Linked DNA regions of Cricetulus griseus. The protein of the gene in region 2 interacts with the protein of the main gene of each other region in a pairwise test. Links are inferred from orthologs where the notes say so. Each region holds a gene or a part of one and is shown on either strand. Other genes may lie near its edges.

Region 1 (4,178 bases), on a different chromosome or scaffold from region 2:
ATATGAAGTCAAGCCAACTAGGATTTCAGAATTTCCAAGTTGCAGGTGTGAGGAACCCAGGTAAACTAGCACACGAAGCCATCATGCTACTTATTCTGTATAGAGCCCGAGGAGAAATGCAGCAAGAGATGTCTTTGTAGAAGTTTGTACCCAGTCTCAGACTGCAGTTAACAGGATGGCCAAGGTACCCATAAATCAAAGTTACTTACCTTCTCTCTGGCTCTTACAGACAGATCTTTTCATTTGTGTGGTGCCTGGAGCACCCTGGGCCAGCGGGCCTATATGCTAACTGTCTTCTGACCTACCTTGGTCTGTTTTCCCATACCTGTGATGAATGGCTTGGTTCATCGGTCTGCTCATTTCTAGTCATCTTTAGTCTTCTACTTCTGTATCCAGATTTTTTTTTTTTTTTTTTTTTTTTTTTTTTTTTTTTTTTTTTTTGTCTTTCTCTTAGGATCATGGGCCCTGGCCCAGCCTGGCTCTGAAATAGTCTGCGGTAGCACTAGGGACTGTCTTTTGGCCAAGAAGGAACTCCAGAGGCTGGTGTGTGATTTAATGGAAGGCAGGATTTCCAGCTCTAGAGATAGCACTCAGCCATCTTGTGCTATCATAGCAGCCTGTTCCAGACCCTACTAAATTCTTCTCTGACCAGGACCCCATAGGCTCTGCCTCTCTCACATGGAAGGTGACATCTTCTGAAAACCTTTTTTCTGGTAGCAGAGCTCTGAGTAGATGGCACTGAAGCTGATTTTCATCATGCTTTTGGCAGTGCATTAACAAACAACAATAAAAACCCAAGCCAACAAACTCATAATAGATTGTAGCTGCACCTACCTGCAAAAATTTACAGTTAGTTTTTGTGCATTCAGTGTGTGGAGAAGGAGATGTGGATGAAGCAAGAATGGCAGAGTGTTCATAATGATTGAAGTTGGTGTCTTGGGTTTGTTGTACTATTTGCTTTGCGTTGTGTTTGCATCAGGTTCCATAACGTGAAACCTTCCCTTCAGCAAGAGAGACCTATGCAGAAACCACAAGAAACTTAAATTTAAAATTACCTTTATAGATATTTTTTCTACTAAACTTGTATTTTATTTATTTATTTGCTTGCTTGTTTGTTTACAGGGTCTCACTATGTAGCTCAGGCTGGCCTGGAACTGGCTATGCGGACCAGACTGGCCTCTAACTCGCAGAGATCTATCTCCCTCTGCCTCCTATGTGCTGGGATTAAAGGTGAACACCACTAAGATCAGCCCATGTTTTTATTTCTTAGTCATCACATATGGAGATGATAAACAGTTTAGACCCATCAGAATGGAGAAACCCCAAATGGAACATACACCCTGGCATCAAAGCCTCTTTCTGCAGAAGCACAGCCCACGTCCTGAAGTGATGCATGGGCAGCTCTGGAAGAGTGCCTGGGTAAGGTTGGGTGAGCCTTGGAAGACCGAGGACAGAAGCAGTGTTGAGTGCCCAGTGCTGTCTCCTCATGAGCTTGTTTGTCATGTGTAGGGCTTTTGAAACTACTTATGAGTGTATAAGAACATAACCAATATATTGTATATTGTAGAAGCCAGGTTTCTCACTGTTAGAGAAAGGTGTTAAAAGTGAGGAAAGGGTGACTAGCAGAAATCTTGCAGTGGTTAGTTAGCTTGGGACCTAAGGCGTCAGTACTGAGTTGATGTAAACAAATGCTTAACAGAAAAGATGGAAAACATCAGGAAAGCATGAGCAGCTGATTTAATGGAGCTCCAGTAGACAGAGTCAAGTGAATAAGCCAGAGAAAGTTGATAACATTGGATTATTAGCATACTGCAAAGAAGAAATTTTCATCTGTCTTCATTAATGCAAGTGACCAAATGCAAAGATAAGGACCCCTCAGCGTTGAATTTGAACTAACATGTATAAGAGAAGGAAGCCAAGTGCCACCATCAGGCAAACACCCCCCCCCCCCCATGGCAACAGTTGCAGATGGGCCCTCTTGATGTATCTGAGATCCAGAAGATACCCCCTGTTATGTGTCTGTCCTTCCAAATAATTGACATTTAGGTCTTTCAAGGCTCTTGTTGATTTTATGTAAGTCCTTGGCATAAAGTTGTCTATGATGCTATCTTTTGTCCTTTTACTGTTTAGTCTGTAGTTCATCCCCTCTTCTTGATAGCATTTCATCATCGACTGCCTAAAGCTTTGCAATCACATTGATTTACCCCTTTCTTTCTCTCTTTGTTCCTGTACTGTACACTGCTCACTGTATAGTACAGTCTTGAGTTTGCTGTCTTCCTTCCTCAGCCTCCTGAATGACTGGGTTACAGGTGTCCCCCACTTTGCTTGGCCTTCTTCTTTCTTTCCATTTTTTTTTCATGCAATTGATTTCTACTCTTTGCTGTTGTCTCTTTGTTGTTTCTTTGGAGTTTGGTTTGCTCTTGTCTAATTTCTTGAAGTAAAGACTGCCATCACTGAATCAAGAGTGTCTTTTCTAACATGGGGATTCAGTGCTGGACATTTCATATTTTGATATCTTGTGTTGCTGTTTTCATTCATTGCAAAGTGCCTTCCAATTCTTCATTTGTGAAGTGTTTTGTTGTTGTTCATTTATTTTCCTTTTTTGTTGTTGTTGTTTATTTTGAGACAGGGTTCCGTGTAGCCCAGGCTGGTCTCAGACTCTGTGTAGTTGAGGATGGCCTTGAACTGCTGATTCTCTTGCCTCTACTTTCCAAATGCTGGGATCACAGGTGTGTGGCGAACTGAAATGTATTATTTAGTTTGCAAATACTTTGGGTTAAAGATACTTTTCTGTTGTTACTGATTTTTAAATTAATTCCAGTTTAGTAAGATAAGTTTATTTTATGTGACTTGAGTCCTTTTAAACTTAATGGTACTTGTTTTAATGGGCCTAAAGGTGTTCTGTTTCAGTGCTTGCTCTGTGTGTTAAGAAGGTGCTTCCACTGCTTTTGTATAGTGAGTGTTGTGTAAATGTCACTGAGTCACCTTGAGGGCTGTGTGTGTGTGTGTGTGTGTGTGTGTGTGTGTGTGTGTGTGTGAGTGTGTATGTGTGTGTGTGTGAGTGAGTGAGTGTGTGTGTGGTGAGTGTGTGTGTGTTTTCTAGTATTCTGCTAGTTTTCTGCCTGCTTTTGTGACAGTTCCTAAGAATAAGCATTGAGATCCTAGCTGTAATGGTCGATGTGCCCATTTCCTTCATGCTTTTCTTAGTTTTGTTTCTAGTGTAAAGTGTGGTTTTCATTTACTCCTCAGCTTACTGATCCTTCTGCCATTAGGAACTGGGCCTCTGCATCCTATGTGATAACTTGAGCCTAAAGTTTATTTTGTCTGATGCTAATGTCTCCTTCACAGATTGCTCTTGGTTAATGTTTGTTAGTTACTTTTGTCATTGTTGTGACCAAATACTTGACAGCTACAAGGGAGGGGAGATTTATGTTGGTTTATGATTTCAAGAGGGTAGGGAGGGTGTGGCCGAGCAGAACAGGTCAGGTCATGGTGGGCTAGGAAGCAGAAAGATTGGCTGCTGGTGTTAGACTAGCTCTTCCAGTTCCCTCTTTCATTTTCTGGGTCCCTCAGTCTGTGGGATGGTGCTTCCTATATCACGGTGGCTCTTAGTGCTTCTAGAAAGGCCCTCACAGACACACAGAGGGGTTTTCATCTCTTGGGGGTTTTCTAAGTAGAGTCAGTTGGGCAGTGGTGCTTAACCTGCACGGTTTGTGTGATAGATCTTTTCCTATCTTTAGTTTATTTGTGACTTCATAGCCAAGTTCAGCTCTATGAAGGAATGTATTGTGTAGCTTTGTCATCATTGCCATTGTGTGAATATTACACAGGCTAAGGTGACCACATTGTCACATGATGATCCTTTCTAATGTGACCACCCTGTGTTTGCTATATGCAGTCTGTTGTTGACTTGAATGTCATGTGGCATGTGTCTGTATTGAAAATGTGTTCGTGTAGGTTGCACATTGCTGGGCCTCTGTTGCTTAGGGAACACTGATGTTATATAAAATGAGTGACCTTCTGTCTCTAGGCCATTTCCAGTCCTACCTCATGGTGGTTCTTTCTACTTGGTACAAAAAAATTACTGTTTTTTATTAATATGTCTGACAAGCTCTGTCCCTTAGTGGAGTGTCTGGACAATTTGAGAAGGTCGCAGATACAGGTGAGAGTGGGCTCAG
Region 2 (3,993 bases):
AGGGAATGGATTCATGAACAGCAACCCCCGAGTGGAGTCCTGCCTTCCTAACAGATAGCTGGCTAGGATAGTGGTGCCACTGCCTATAAGAATACCTAGTATAAAGCCAGGTGGTGGTGGCGTACTCCTTTAATTCCAGTGCTCGGGAAGCAGAGACAAGCGAATCTCTGAGTTCAAGACCAGCCCTGGTCTACAGAATGAGTTCCAGGATATGTTCCAAAGCTACAGAGAAACCTTGTCTCAAAAAAACCAAAATAACCCAACAACAACAACAACAAAAACCAAAAATACCTAGTATAGAGAAAACAATATGTTCTTGAGAAACAGTTGTAAATTCTGTTCAAAGTTTAGTTCTAGAATGGCTCAGTGGTATGTTGCATGCACACAATCCTGGAATACCAAATACACAAAAGCATTTAACATACAAGTTAGCAAAATTGGAGAAAATATGCTCAAAAGAGCAGCCATTATTCTTTCAGCTGCATACTGACGAGCTAACAGCTGGGATTTCACGTCTCCTATTAGTACTCCATATGCTGTTTAAGCTATGGCAAAGTCTACTGTTGTGATAACAGATGTAAAAGGCTTTGGAAAGTATAGGAGAAATTCCAAGTGGAAATTGACAGTAAATAAGTTCAGATATTAGGATTTGCTAAACATGAAGATGTGACAACTTCATTTTGATCCGAAGTTAAGAATCCCACACATAGTCCCAAACGTGTTTTGTTTATTGCTCAGTAAATTGGGATATTAAAATTGGTTGTCCTGACAACTTTCTGGGGAAGCAGGTTAGAGTAGGCACTGGTTAGAGGAAAGCTGTGAAAACAGTAATCCTGTGTGAGAGAGAGCTTCAATTCAGGGCAACAATTATTAAATCACATTTCTATTATGAAGTGTTATATATGATGTTAGACAAGTATAACCAGCCTACCCTTGAAGATTTTGGATGTTTCTTAAATATGGCAAAGCAAAATCTCTTGCTTGGATTATATGAACTGCTTTCATATAGTAGAATGTTGCAATCGCATGATGACTGCTTCAGTCCTTAAGTATCAAAGTAGGTCATCAATCCTTATGGGGCAAATCTGAAATAGGCTAAGTATGTGACACATTCGTCTTCTGGACATGGAGAAATGTGATAGCAAATCGGCATTGTAACTGCTAGGTAGCTTCAATTATACAAGTACAGGTATCCATCTGGGCTTAAGTCGTTGCACATTAAGGGATCAAGACAGACAGAAATAAATAACAAATTACCACCTGTCCAGAGAGGTACCTGTTTTCTTTTTCTCTTTTCTAAGTAAGGGTCATTCAAGTCCACATTTTTCTTTTCTATCAAACTCAGTGGAATTGTGAACAAGTAGCCGTGTTTAATAGCCAACTCAAAGATGATAATTTTCACTACAAGTTTAGAGTGGAAATAATTCTCTAGAATAGAACAAACAGGATGCTTGGAAGAATTCCTGGTGATCACTCTGAATGGTGGTTAAGAATGTTTGCTCTGGAGTCTGCAGTGAAAACCTCATTTCCCCAACAGTATCTACTTGAGCCAGAGGTAACCTATGGCAACACATGATGTTATTGGGAGAATTAAAGGCGCCCATCATTGTGTTAAGAGCCTATCAGTGTCCTCAAGCGAAAAATCCTACTACGATTGTGCAAGAAAATGGGCCACTGGCTTCTAACTGAGGGCACTCTGAGATTGTTCTCAGGAGATGCCACAATCAAGAAAGCCAAGGCAGGATAATTTCTAATTGAAAATCCGAATGAAAAAAAAAAGGCATAATAGAACTCTTCTCACATAATTTCACTTGGCACCCGATAAACGACGCCAAAGTAATATATCAAAACAAAACAGTTTGACACCCAATTGTAAGTTGTACACTGGGGTGCTAAGGTCCGAACAGTGTCTACAGGCTCCTCATCCCGAGTGCGTGGGATCAAAAATACTAGCTCCCATATTCGGCTTTAGGGAGTCCACCTAACTCAGCTTCTGCTTTCTGGGAAACGGGATAACAAAACATCACTCTCAGAGAGTGATGGCGCGGGTACCGCACTGCTGTGCGGTACTGCACCCCCACCACCTGCAGCGGCTTGCAGACTCTGCGGGCCATGAAAAGCGCATGAGGGCGAGCAGGGCAGCAGGACCAGAAGCAGAGTCAGCAGCTTGCTTCTAGAGCGGGGCACACTGGTTCACCCCTGCCCACCTCAGAGGTCCCCGAAGGAGATAGATCCGCTCATCCCCCGAGAAAGCGCTTTCTTAAAGCGCCGAGCATCAGCCAGCGTTGCACATCCGCAGGGCCGAGGGCCGCGCGCTTGCTCCCGGCGGCCGGGATGGGCGGATCCGCTGCCAGGTGAGAGTGAGGAGCCCCCGGCCGCGCATCCCAGACCACCAGCCTAAGGAACTTTCTAGTACTTTCCACACCTGTCGCCTGCCGGGCCTCCACCCCCCAACCCCGGCGACCTCGCCCTCACCTTGTTGGAGGTCCCGGTGGTCGTACCACGGTTCATCTTCTATCTCAAACTCCTCCACCAGGTTATCTGCCAGCATGTCGCTGGGGGTGTCCGGGGGCAGCGGGCTCTGCCGCCACCGTGCCGTTTCGGCCGCTGCCCCGGGCTGTCCCCCGGCCCCTCCGCCCTCAGCCAGAGCCGCCCTCGGGCGGGACGCGCCGGCCCCGCCGCAACTCCCGCCGCCGGCCCGCGTCCGCCTCGCGCCGCCCAACGGCCAGCGCCCTAGAGAGCGCACCCCGGGTGGCGCCCGCAGCCGGCACCACACACCCGCTGCCCGGCCCAACGTGGCACTTTGGCAGAGCCCTCCCAGGCCGGGGAGACGATTCAAACCCGGGCGGCGCCTTGACCAATTGCGAATGGGTCCCTGGTAGAGCGACAGCGACTTCAGCCAATAGTATCTCAAAGAAGGTCGCGGGCCCGAGTGTCTTTGGCCAATAGACGCTCAGGAAGGAACAAAGGAGGCGGGTAAAGGCGGAGAGGGTGCGGCCGGCAGCCCCGCCCCTTTTGTTAGCGTCTCGTCTTCTCAGTGAATACACTCCTGTTCCGGAGCCTGGTGGAGGCGGCTGCGGCGACCCTCTCGGCTCCCTGGCGTGTCTTGTACCCAACTGAGGAGGACTCCCGGCTCTGGGCAGTGGGCATCATTTTCCCACCGAAGGTTTCGAAAGCGGGACAGCCCTCCTCGGCTTTGCCCTCGGTGATGCGCGGAGGGAGATTCAGGGTCCGTCGCGAGGTTAAGGCCGAGAGAACGCTATTGAGCCTAAGCTGCTCCTGAATGTCTGAGTTTGGGGGGATGGCAATTAACTCCTAAAACGGCGGTCACCAGCACCACTTGACATTCGAAGGCTGGGACCGGCCCGTGGGAAACGCCTCCCTTGGCAAAAGTTGCCAGCAGTTTTGCATAATTTTTTAAACGTTCATAGAGCCCAAGGTAAACATCTGGGAGCAGGCATTGCACTTGTGGCCAGCAGGGCAGTGTCCGCTTGGTGACGCAGACGTAATTGTTTCTTGGGTTGAGCTTTTAGCACCTTCGGGTGCCTCACGTGAAAACTCTAAAACGGAGAAAGGTCGGCGCAGCTGTTAGGATGTTAGAGCTAATAGATAATGTCTAAGGAGGAAACGAGAAGAATTATAACAAGTGAGGGGAGAGAAGTCAACGTTTAGCTTTGGCAATAGTGAGTCGCTAGATACCTCTTGAAGTTAGTAACGCCTTCATACACATCCGGAGTGTCACCAGAACTAAGATGGAAAGCAGTTATCCAAAAAAAAAAAAAAAAAAAAAAAAGTACACAAATTACTATGGTTAAAAATAGGAGAAATTGCTAGGTAGAAGTTACAGATCCTCAGCTACTTTTGTTTTTCCATATAAACGAATAAGGTCTTGGGTAATTTGGAGAAAGGAAAACTTCATCCTAATTTATTTTTTCAGTGCTAAGGATGAACCTAGTGCCTCGTACATGCCAGACAATCACTACCCCTAAGCTA
Region 3 (4,174 bases), on a different chromosome or scaffold from region 2:
TTAATAAAGGCTAGTATTCCCTGAGCACAGCAACACACTGGTGCACTCTTTGCATACATTATCTCACTTAATCCTTAACCTAGCTAGCATCACGTGAACTGAAGAGACACAGATGGGTAATTTATATAAGCAGCGGAAGACGGTTATAACCAGGCTACCAGAAGTGCCTGAGGAAGATCACAAACATATGAAGGCTTGCTGCTACTGTGTGCAAACACCACCATCACCAGTGTCTGGAGCACAGTTCTGGCTACAAATCAGAACCACCTACAAGACCCTCCCCTAACCCCATCATGCACCAGAGTCTCATTCATGTGTGGACTGATGGCCTGGAGAAGGGATGGAGCAAAAGCAGGGGCTCCGCAGATGATTTTAATGGGCAGACAAACTAGACTAAATGAATCACTGTTAGACTTGCAAATGGCAGTACTTATTTACAATACTGATAACAATAAAGAGGCTAATGCTTATTAAGCTCAATGCCAGGTGATTCTAACAGATGATAAGATGAAAAACCACTAATAATTGTTTTCCACTCTGTTAACCACTCCAAATAGTTGGCTACAACCTAAATTTACTGACCATCAGAGCACTTTGCCTATCTACTTCCCAACAAAGTGTTTGGCTTTTCTTCTTGAAGAGACATTACAACTGTACTTGAACCTTTCTTTCTGTTGTGCTGTTCTGAACCCAGGGCAAGCACTCTATACCACTGAGTTTCTTCCCCAGCCCTGGCTGAACCTTTGTAAATAAAATTCTGCCAGCTCTGATTAGACATGAGGACTTTAAGGACAATCACAGATAACATGAAAAAGTTTGGAAATCCCTTTGAGCCAGTGTCTCTCTATACAGCCCTGGCTGGCCTATAACTCACAGATCCACCTGCCTCTGCCTCCTGAGTGTTGGTATTAGACAAGTGCCACTGAGTCCGTGGGCTTTTTGTTTCTTTACATTTAAAACAAGAAGAAAAAAGTCCTAAGAGTCAAACTAAAAATTAAATATCAGGTTATGATAGTAAAAACACTGAGATATACACTTAAGTTGTATTATTCACTATTGGCTATATACCTTAATTAAGCGTGTGATGACAGTTAAAACAGAGCTGTTATTATGGTGCAAGTCCCATCTCCTTATCCCAGGTCCTGGGACAATGATTATGCAGTCTTTTTACCCTGTTAAGTCACCTAAATACACACTTAACAGATGCTAAGAAACCAAAGCATTACATAAGCATATCCAAACAACAACATGGCTTGTCAGTATGACTGCTCTCAACAACACTGAGAAATGCAAGGGCTCTGCTGACAATCGGATGAGAAGTCTCACTGTTTCACTGACTTATTCACAGCACATCCCACTCACCCTACATCAAAACACAATGAAGAGTGCTCCAGACATCTTCAGGCTCGCCCCCTTTTTATATCAGTGATAACTCGACATGCAAGTACAGGAAGTGTGAGCTGTGACTTTTAACCAGAGATACCAGCTGCGAAGGAGTATCGATACCCCAACTCCGGACTTATCAGAGAAATGTTGCAAAACTTATAAAACTTCCTCCTTCCGGACAGCTCATTATTTGCTTCAAGTCTACACATTCCTTTATTAGTCATGACCTTTCAGGGTGCTTTCATCCCGTAGTGTTTGAATATTGGACTTTTGATGGTGCCAATAAGCCTTACAGGAACCCTTATCAAACAAGAAGCCAACCTAGAGTCCGTGCCCCTAAGCAGAACGATTACAGGACACTCAGGACTTGTGATTCGTTGCAAACATGTATCTTTCTGCCTATTTTTATGTCCACCTATATATTGCTATTATATATAATGGCAGAGACTTAATTAGTTCTGCAGAAATGTACTCTTAGGGAACTCTGAAGCCCTGTGGGTATGTGTCAAAAACAAGACGGTGAACCTTATTTATCAATTGCCAGTGGGGTCTCACATCCCTGATCTTACCTCTGAGCCATATGTCAACAGACCGTAAGGCACAGTCCCAAAGAATAACGGGGGAGAGGGGCAATTTACCTGGATGGATCCCAAAAATACACATGCACTTCCATCCCTGGGCAGAAGGGATGGCCCATAAAGCAGACCATCCTTCCTGCTGGGATCCCACACATCCCCAGGGCCGTGGGGCCTGCTACAGGGCTTGGGAGGGAGGGAAGACAGTGTCTGTCCCCACTTGGGAGTCCTAAACAAACGGCAACAGAGCAAGTTCTCACTTCCTGGTCGCTGGCGTTTCCACAAGGCCCCCATCCCGCGCCAGTCACCGGAGACAGGGGTTCAAGGAAGGACGACTCCGAGGGGTACCGGGGCCCACCCAGCCCGCGCCTCCCGTCCTCTCCTAGCCCTCGCAGGGCCTTACACGGTGACGTGACCGGAGCCGCGGACCACCACCGGGTCGGGCGAGTACTTCAGCAGCTGCTCCTCCAGGGCCCGCTCCTCGTCCTCCTCCTCCTCGTAGATCTCATCGAAATCCGCCATCCCGCGCCTGCGAGCCCCGCGCCCGGGGCCCTGGCTCTGGGGCGGCCGCGGAGAACGGCTGGCGAGGCTGCGGGCGCGGAGGCCGCGGGGCTGGCGCTCGGCAGTGTCGGCTCTGGCTACTGAGGAGACCCGGTCCCGGGCGCCGCCGCCGCCATTACCGTGGGCAGGAACAACAACACAATGTCAACATCCGCCGGGGCCGCCACCCCCGCCAGCGCCGCCGCAGCCGCCGCCGCCCGCAACTCCGGCAACCACAGCAACAGCCAGAGCCACCCGCAGCAGGAGCAGCCGGCTACCGCATCGCGAGACTTCCCGGGAGCGCGGGCGAGCGGGCGGGCGGGCGGCGAGCGGGCTGGCGTGGGCGCGCTGACGGGCGCGAGCGTGGGGCGGGCGCGCGCACGCGGCAGGCCTCGCGCGCTCCCGGGACGCCGGCCTTTTCCTCGGCTTCTACCCGGCGCGGCCCCGCCCCCAGGCTCCAGGGTCACCGACCCGGAAGGCGGCGTCTGTGGGGACGGGGGCGATGACCCTGGCTCGACTCCGAGAGCCAAGCTGAATTCATCTCTAGCCCAAACAACGACTGCGGACCAAGCCCCTGGCTGGAAGAGAGAACCTCTCTTGCCTGGAACTGCCGGCTTAATCATCTGATCTCAATGTTTGTCAGTGTATTTAGTGCGAACCAAAAGTTGGTTGACTTTCCCAACTTGAGACCAACAGAACAGTGCGTTCTTGTCCACATTTAAACCTGATTTTCCATAAATCTCCAAAGTCAAATATCTTGTCCTTTTAGCTTCTCAAGTACAGTCTCAAGCATGAGAGAGAGACAGAGACAGAGAGGAGAGGAGAGAGAGAGACACACAGAGAGAGAAATCTCGCCATCATACTTTATAACAAAGTTGACAGATTCTCCGGGTTCCAATTAAGAAAATTCAGTTCTATGTCTCAACTCCATCACGAAAGATAATCTGTTCTCTTCCATTAAAACTTTACCCGCTTCCTCCACAAGAAAGGGAGGGGGTGGAGAAGAGGAGATGGAGAAAAGGGGAGGGAGGAGCAGTTGACTTAATGGATGGGTCACCTTGGACTTGGTTTCATAATCAAGAGTCTGCCAGGCATACAAACAGCACAAAGATGGACTCCTAAGGACAAAATGGACAATGGAGTAATGAGAGTTTATCACTGAGCTGGGGGTGTCCAGTACTGTTCTCCATATAGTGTTTACATCCTTGAAGTTCACTTATGGGTCTTTATTCGGGCAGAAAATGTAAAAGGTTAATGTGGGTGGTTGAAAAATACTGAACAACTAAATATTGGAAAGAGTTGAAAATGGGCAGTGAGTTAGGAAGGGAAGAATAGTTGATATGTCCGACCTACTTTCCCAGATGTATTCATTCAATAAACACTGACCCAGCTATGTGGCAAGCAGTGTGTGTGTGTGTGTGTGTGTGTGTGTGTGTGTGTGTGTGTGTGTGTGTGTGTGTGTGTGTGTGTGTGTTGTGTGTGTGTGTGTGATAGTCTCTGGCAGTAACATCTGTCATTAAGGCAAGCAATTGTATTTCTCTTATCAGGTGTTCAGAGGGTCTGCCAAGGTCTCCAATGGTGCACACATGTAGGAGGCAGCTTAGATTGATAGTTCTGAAACCTGACCTTGAATCTCAGTCTATCACTTGCTATGTGACCCTGGACAAGTCATT
Region 4 (4,142 bases), on a different chromosome or scaffold from region 2:
ATTCTATAAAAGTTTCCATTTTATGAAGTAAAAGCTTTTTAAAAATGGGACCACAGAATGGGAAAAATATTTTTTAAAAGTCATCATTAAGATTCAAAAGCCTATACTGGGTATGGTATTGAACACCAGTAGTCCTGCCGTCCAAAGAGACTAAGACAAGAAGCCTGGGCTTCACAGCGAGATTGTCTCAAGACAGAAAAAAACTCAAATTCCCACAAAAAAAAAAAAAAGAATACTTTTCCTTCAAGCTAACGAAGTTTAGATTCAAAGAAACAATTAGTCTTCATCCTGGAAAATAGGAAGCAAATGTAGCTTCTAATTACACTTATCAAATCTTAGTCACGGACACTGAGTATTGTGTGACATGGCTTTGGGTGCTGAGATAAGGAAGTAAATAAAGCGCCATCACTGGCTTCAGAGTTGGTGTCCTAGAGCTGGACCCACTACCTGAAGTCATCAACTGCTTTAGGGAACAAACCAAGCTCAACTCCAAACTCAGCCAACCTTGGCGTCTTCTCAAAAACCAAATAATGATCTGATTGCACTGAGGCACTAATAAAATCCATTTCTTACTGATGGAATTAGCTCCCATAAAGGAGTCTGCAAAAGTGTAGAGGGCAGAAAGTATTTAAGGTAAACACTGACCTAACAGAGAAAAGAAAACAAACAAGCCTTCAGTATTCTGCTCTCTCAGAAGTTAAGAATACCAAGAAAAATTTCATTCTCAGTCTAAATGTCTAGAGACAGGCAGCCCCATAAATGTGGTCCATGTGCAAATATCTTATGTGTGAGTCATTAACCAACCACATCTGCAAGTCAGTTGTCGGGTTTCAAAGAATCATAGCCTTCTTTCAGGAGGTCCCGCCACGTCTTAAGGAAGCGTGCATTTTCTGTACATTTCAGGGCAAGCTCTTCCACCTGAGCGGATACCGCAGATGTGGCTTCAAGAAGTTTAGTTAATGAAAATGCTGCCTGCAATTTAAAGAAAGAAAAGTGAAATGGGTTTGTTTGTGGTCCTAGGAACAAAACCCAGAGCCTCCACCATTGGGGTACACCCTAAATCCCACACATGCTTATTTTTTAAATTCCTATCTAATTTAGATGAGAAGTTTAACTTCTCGTCGTCTAAAAATAGCTTAAAATCTCCAATCAAATGATCATGTATTTTTCTTTGAGAGAGAGAGAGAGAGAGAGAGAGAGAGAGAGAATTTTCAAACAAGAATACTACTATTTCTTGAACCCAAACCATCAGAGCAGGGCAGGCACATAGTTCTTTCCCTGAGCTACACTCATAGCCTTTATTTTTTTTTCATTATGTAACTTGAGGCAACATATCTGCCATAAAAATACTCATTGCACGTGACACATGGCAAGTCATTGTTTTTAAAGGAAAACACACCCAACTCTCATGTATTTCACCAAGGCAACTTGGAAAGCTCTTGACTAGACGTGACAACCATCTAAAAGACTTCCTTATAAACCACTCTTGCTGATAATTAGGTAACAAAATCACTGTTCCAGTATTTTTACCTATGAATACTTTTTTTTGAATACAAAAAGATGTGAAATCGAAGACCTGATACTCTGAACTGACAGAACATCTAAAATTACACACACAGCTATGAAAAACTCACTTTTAAATCAAATGGTTTCTTCATTAGAGATATAAAATAGCACTTTTTTTGGACATGACATAGGTACTTGGTCTACACATTTATTTGTAACCAGTATTGTTTCAAAAAAAAACAAAACAAACAAACAAACAAAAACCCTGGAGCAGCACTTCAGCCATCTCTTTAAAAAAATCAAAAACTTGTAGCTCAGTTCCCAGTTTCCAATCTTCGCCGGGCTGTCCTTCCAAAAAGCTCTCCCAGGAAGGTTACCCGCTAACTGCTACATACTTCATTTGGCTCGTCGTCCTCTCAAGAGTCCCTAGAAAGTGAAACTGACACCCTCCAACCCCCTCAGCGGTACGCGTGTTGAGGTCGGGTGGAGATTTCTGGGAATTCGAGATTGTACAACAACTTTACAAAGTGTTTGCACTGCCGGAATCAGTGAGGCGTCCTGTCTAATCCATCAGGGAAGCCGATGACCTCAGCGGCCGGCTGTGATTAGCCCTGGTCCACGTTAAGTCCCACCCAGAACGAGTCTGCGACACACAATAGTATCACCAGCTGGCTCTAGGCTGGTGGCAAGCTCAAGTCCCTCCGAAAGAGCCAATGGGCAGGCAAGGATGCTATGACTGCCCAAAGCACTCTGAGAGATGCAACGGGAGGCGGAGAGCTGACCCCGATGGCGATGCTGAGGGGACAGCAGCGGGAGAAGGTCAGAAAGGAGCGGGCGGACAGAGCAGAGGCTAGCCCTCAACTCTCTGGCCAAGAATCGCAGGCAGGAGCACCCGGGCTACAAGCTGCGACCCGGCCCCGGCGACACTCACGTCTCCGATCTGCAGCTCCACTTGCTCCAGAGGGTCCACCGTTGGGGCGTGGGTTCGACTCGGACTCCGCCAGCCCAAACTCACTGGCATGCTGAGAGACGACGAAGAGGCGCCTGAAGACGGAGACGAGGGAGGCGGCGGCGGCGGCGAAGCCCGAAATTCCTCGGGGTCAGCCATGGGGCTGGGCCGGGGCCGCCGAGCCGGACCAAGTAACCGAACCCACACCAACTGCCTTTCAACAGCTCGCGCCCAAAGCCCATAGGCTCCGCCTCCTCCCACACGGGGTCCCGCCCCATCTTCTCGTAGGTCTCAACCCTGTACCACAAGGACTTTTCATTTTCCCAGACAGCCAATCAGATGTGAAGCCAGTCGTCACCCCGTTCCTGCGCACACCTTCCGGTCGGCTCGCAGGACGCTGGAGCTGGACACTACAACTCCCAGAATGCTGAGCGAATTGTCCCCGCTATGCTTGCAACGCGCGTGCGCTCAGTCTGGGGGCGGAGCCTGTAGACCTCTTCCGCACACTCGGTTCCTGGATAAGGGAGGATGGCTGGGAAATGGAGTCTTCTGACTTTTTTTTTGCTGATACGTGACCCGGAAACCTTATTGGCCGTCGCGTCCTCCGCGGCGCCGGCGCAAAGCAGAAGAGAGGCGGGCACGCCGCGATGCAAGGGCGGTCGGCGCAGCCCAGGGACTGACTTCAGCCGGGCAGTCGGGGCTTCTTGGCAGGTGATGGCGCCCCCCGTGGCCTGAAAGTCCAGCGCCCTCGGCAAGCGGCAGACAGGCCTCTCTCCGTGTGTCTTTGTCAAGTCTCCGGGCTACTTTGAACATGCTGGTGCGGCTAGCCAAGCTGTCCTGCCCTGGTGAGACAGAACTCCTGGTGGGGACAGACAGATCAAGATGGATAAGTTGGGGCATACCTGGGGAACTGCAAGCACCTCTCTCCTTATCTGCTTCTTCGGCTAAACTGGAGCAGAGATCAATGCTGTCAGCGCCTGTTGCTGGACCCTGACTTCCCGTCCTTGACATTGTCCCAGTCGGCAAAGTTAACTTCTAGGTTAAAGGTCATGAGCGCAGGAAAAATGTCAACACTCCACTCCTCTGTGGAGTCCTCCCAAATCCCGGTCCTAATCTTTATCCCAAGGCTCAGGTAGTATCTGCTGCCTTGTTAGGAAAGGGAAAGAAAGGAAAACTTGTGTGGGATTTCTTCTTGACTCTGACCTGACTTTCGTCTTTGTAGCCATTCTAGTCCAGTCTTTATTATTATTATTATTATTATTATTATTATTATTATTATTATTATTATTATTATTATTAGTTTTTCGAGACAGGGTTTCTCTGTGTAGCTTTGGAGCCTATCCTGGCACTCGCTCTGGAGACCAGGCTGGCCTCGAACTTACAGAGATCAGCCTGCCTCTGCCTCCCAAGTGCTGGGACTAAAGGCGTGCGCCACCAACGCCCGGCTTCTGGTCCAGTCTTAATGTGAATTCTGAGCTGTCATATCGTGTTAACCCATGTGCTGCCCGTGTCACCAGTTGTGTCTGGAGCTCCAAAGTTTTCTGCATTATTCTCAGTTAACTCCAGGCGCTTCTATTATGAGTGCTTCTTAAAGCGGTTGGATTTTTTTTTTTAATTTTACTTAAAAACAACCCCTAATTCAAACGGAAGTTTAGAGGCTCTTGAATTCTGTTGTAACTGGCTTAAT

What was found. The genes of interacting proteins can lie anywhere in the genome.
Region 1: the proteins of Cdr2 (region 2) and Hdac4 interact in binary tests that used the Homo sapiens proteins (3 or more experiments, as listed by UniProt). The two-hybrid records come from large-scale screens. The link is inferred for Cricetulus griseus from reciprocal best matches to the Homo sapiens genes CDR2 and HDAC4.
Region 3: the proteins of Cdr2 (region 2) and cysteine-rich hydrophobic domain-containing protein 2 interact in binary tests that used the Homo sapiens proteins (3 or more experiments, as listed by UniProt). The link is inferred for Cricetulus griseus from reciprocal best matches to the Homo sapiens genes CDR2 and CHIC2.
Region 4: the proteins of Cdr2 (region 2) and C1H4orf46 interact in binary tests that used the Homo sapiens proteins (3 or more experiments, as listed by UniProt). The two-hybrid records come from large-scale screens. The link is inferred for Cricetulus griseus from reciprocal best matches to the Homo sapiens genes CDR2 and C4orf46.

What each region holds. Positions count from the first base shown.
Region 1 is NC_048595.1:443,657,394-443,661,571, reverse strand, and holds the start of Hdac4 (histone deacetylase 4), read left to right. Parts: upstream 1-1,378; 5' UTR 1,379-1,393; coding exon 1,394-1,419; intron 1,420-4,178. UniProt on the Homo sapiens protein: Responsible for the deacetylation of lysine residues on the N-terminal part of the core histones (H2A, H2B, H3 and H4).
Region 2 is NC_048596.1:79,675,861-79,679,853, reverse strand, and holds the start of Cdr2 (cerebellar degeneration-related protein 2), read right to left. Parts: upstream 2,807-3,993; 5' UTR 2,552-2,806; coding exon 2,476-2,551; intron 1-2,475.
Region 3 is NW_023276807.1:141,545,311-141,549,484, forward strand, and holds the start of cysteine-rich hydrophobic domain-containing protein 2, read right to left. Parts: upstream 2,801-4,174; 5' UTR 2,484-2,800; coding exon 2,365-2,483; intron 1-2,364.
Region 4 is NW_023276806.1:74,581,995-74,586,136, forward strand, and holds the start of C1H4orf46 (renal cancer differentiation gene 1 protein), read right to left. Parts: upstream 2,801-4,142; 5' UTR 2,615-2,800; coding exon 2,438-2,614; intron 973-2,437; coding exon 817-972; 3' UTR 1-816. Other genes in the region: Etfdh (electron transfer flavoprotein-ubiquinone oxidoreductase, mitochondrial), read left to right, coding at 3,267-3,300.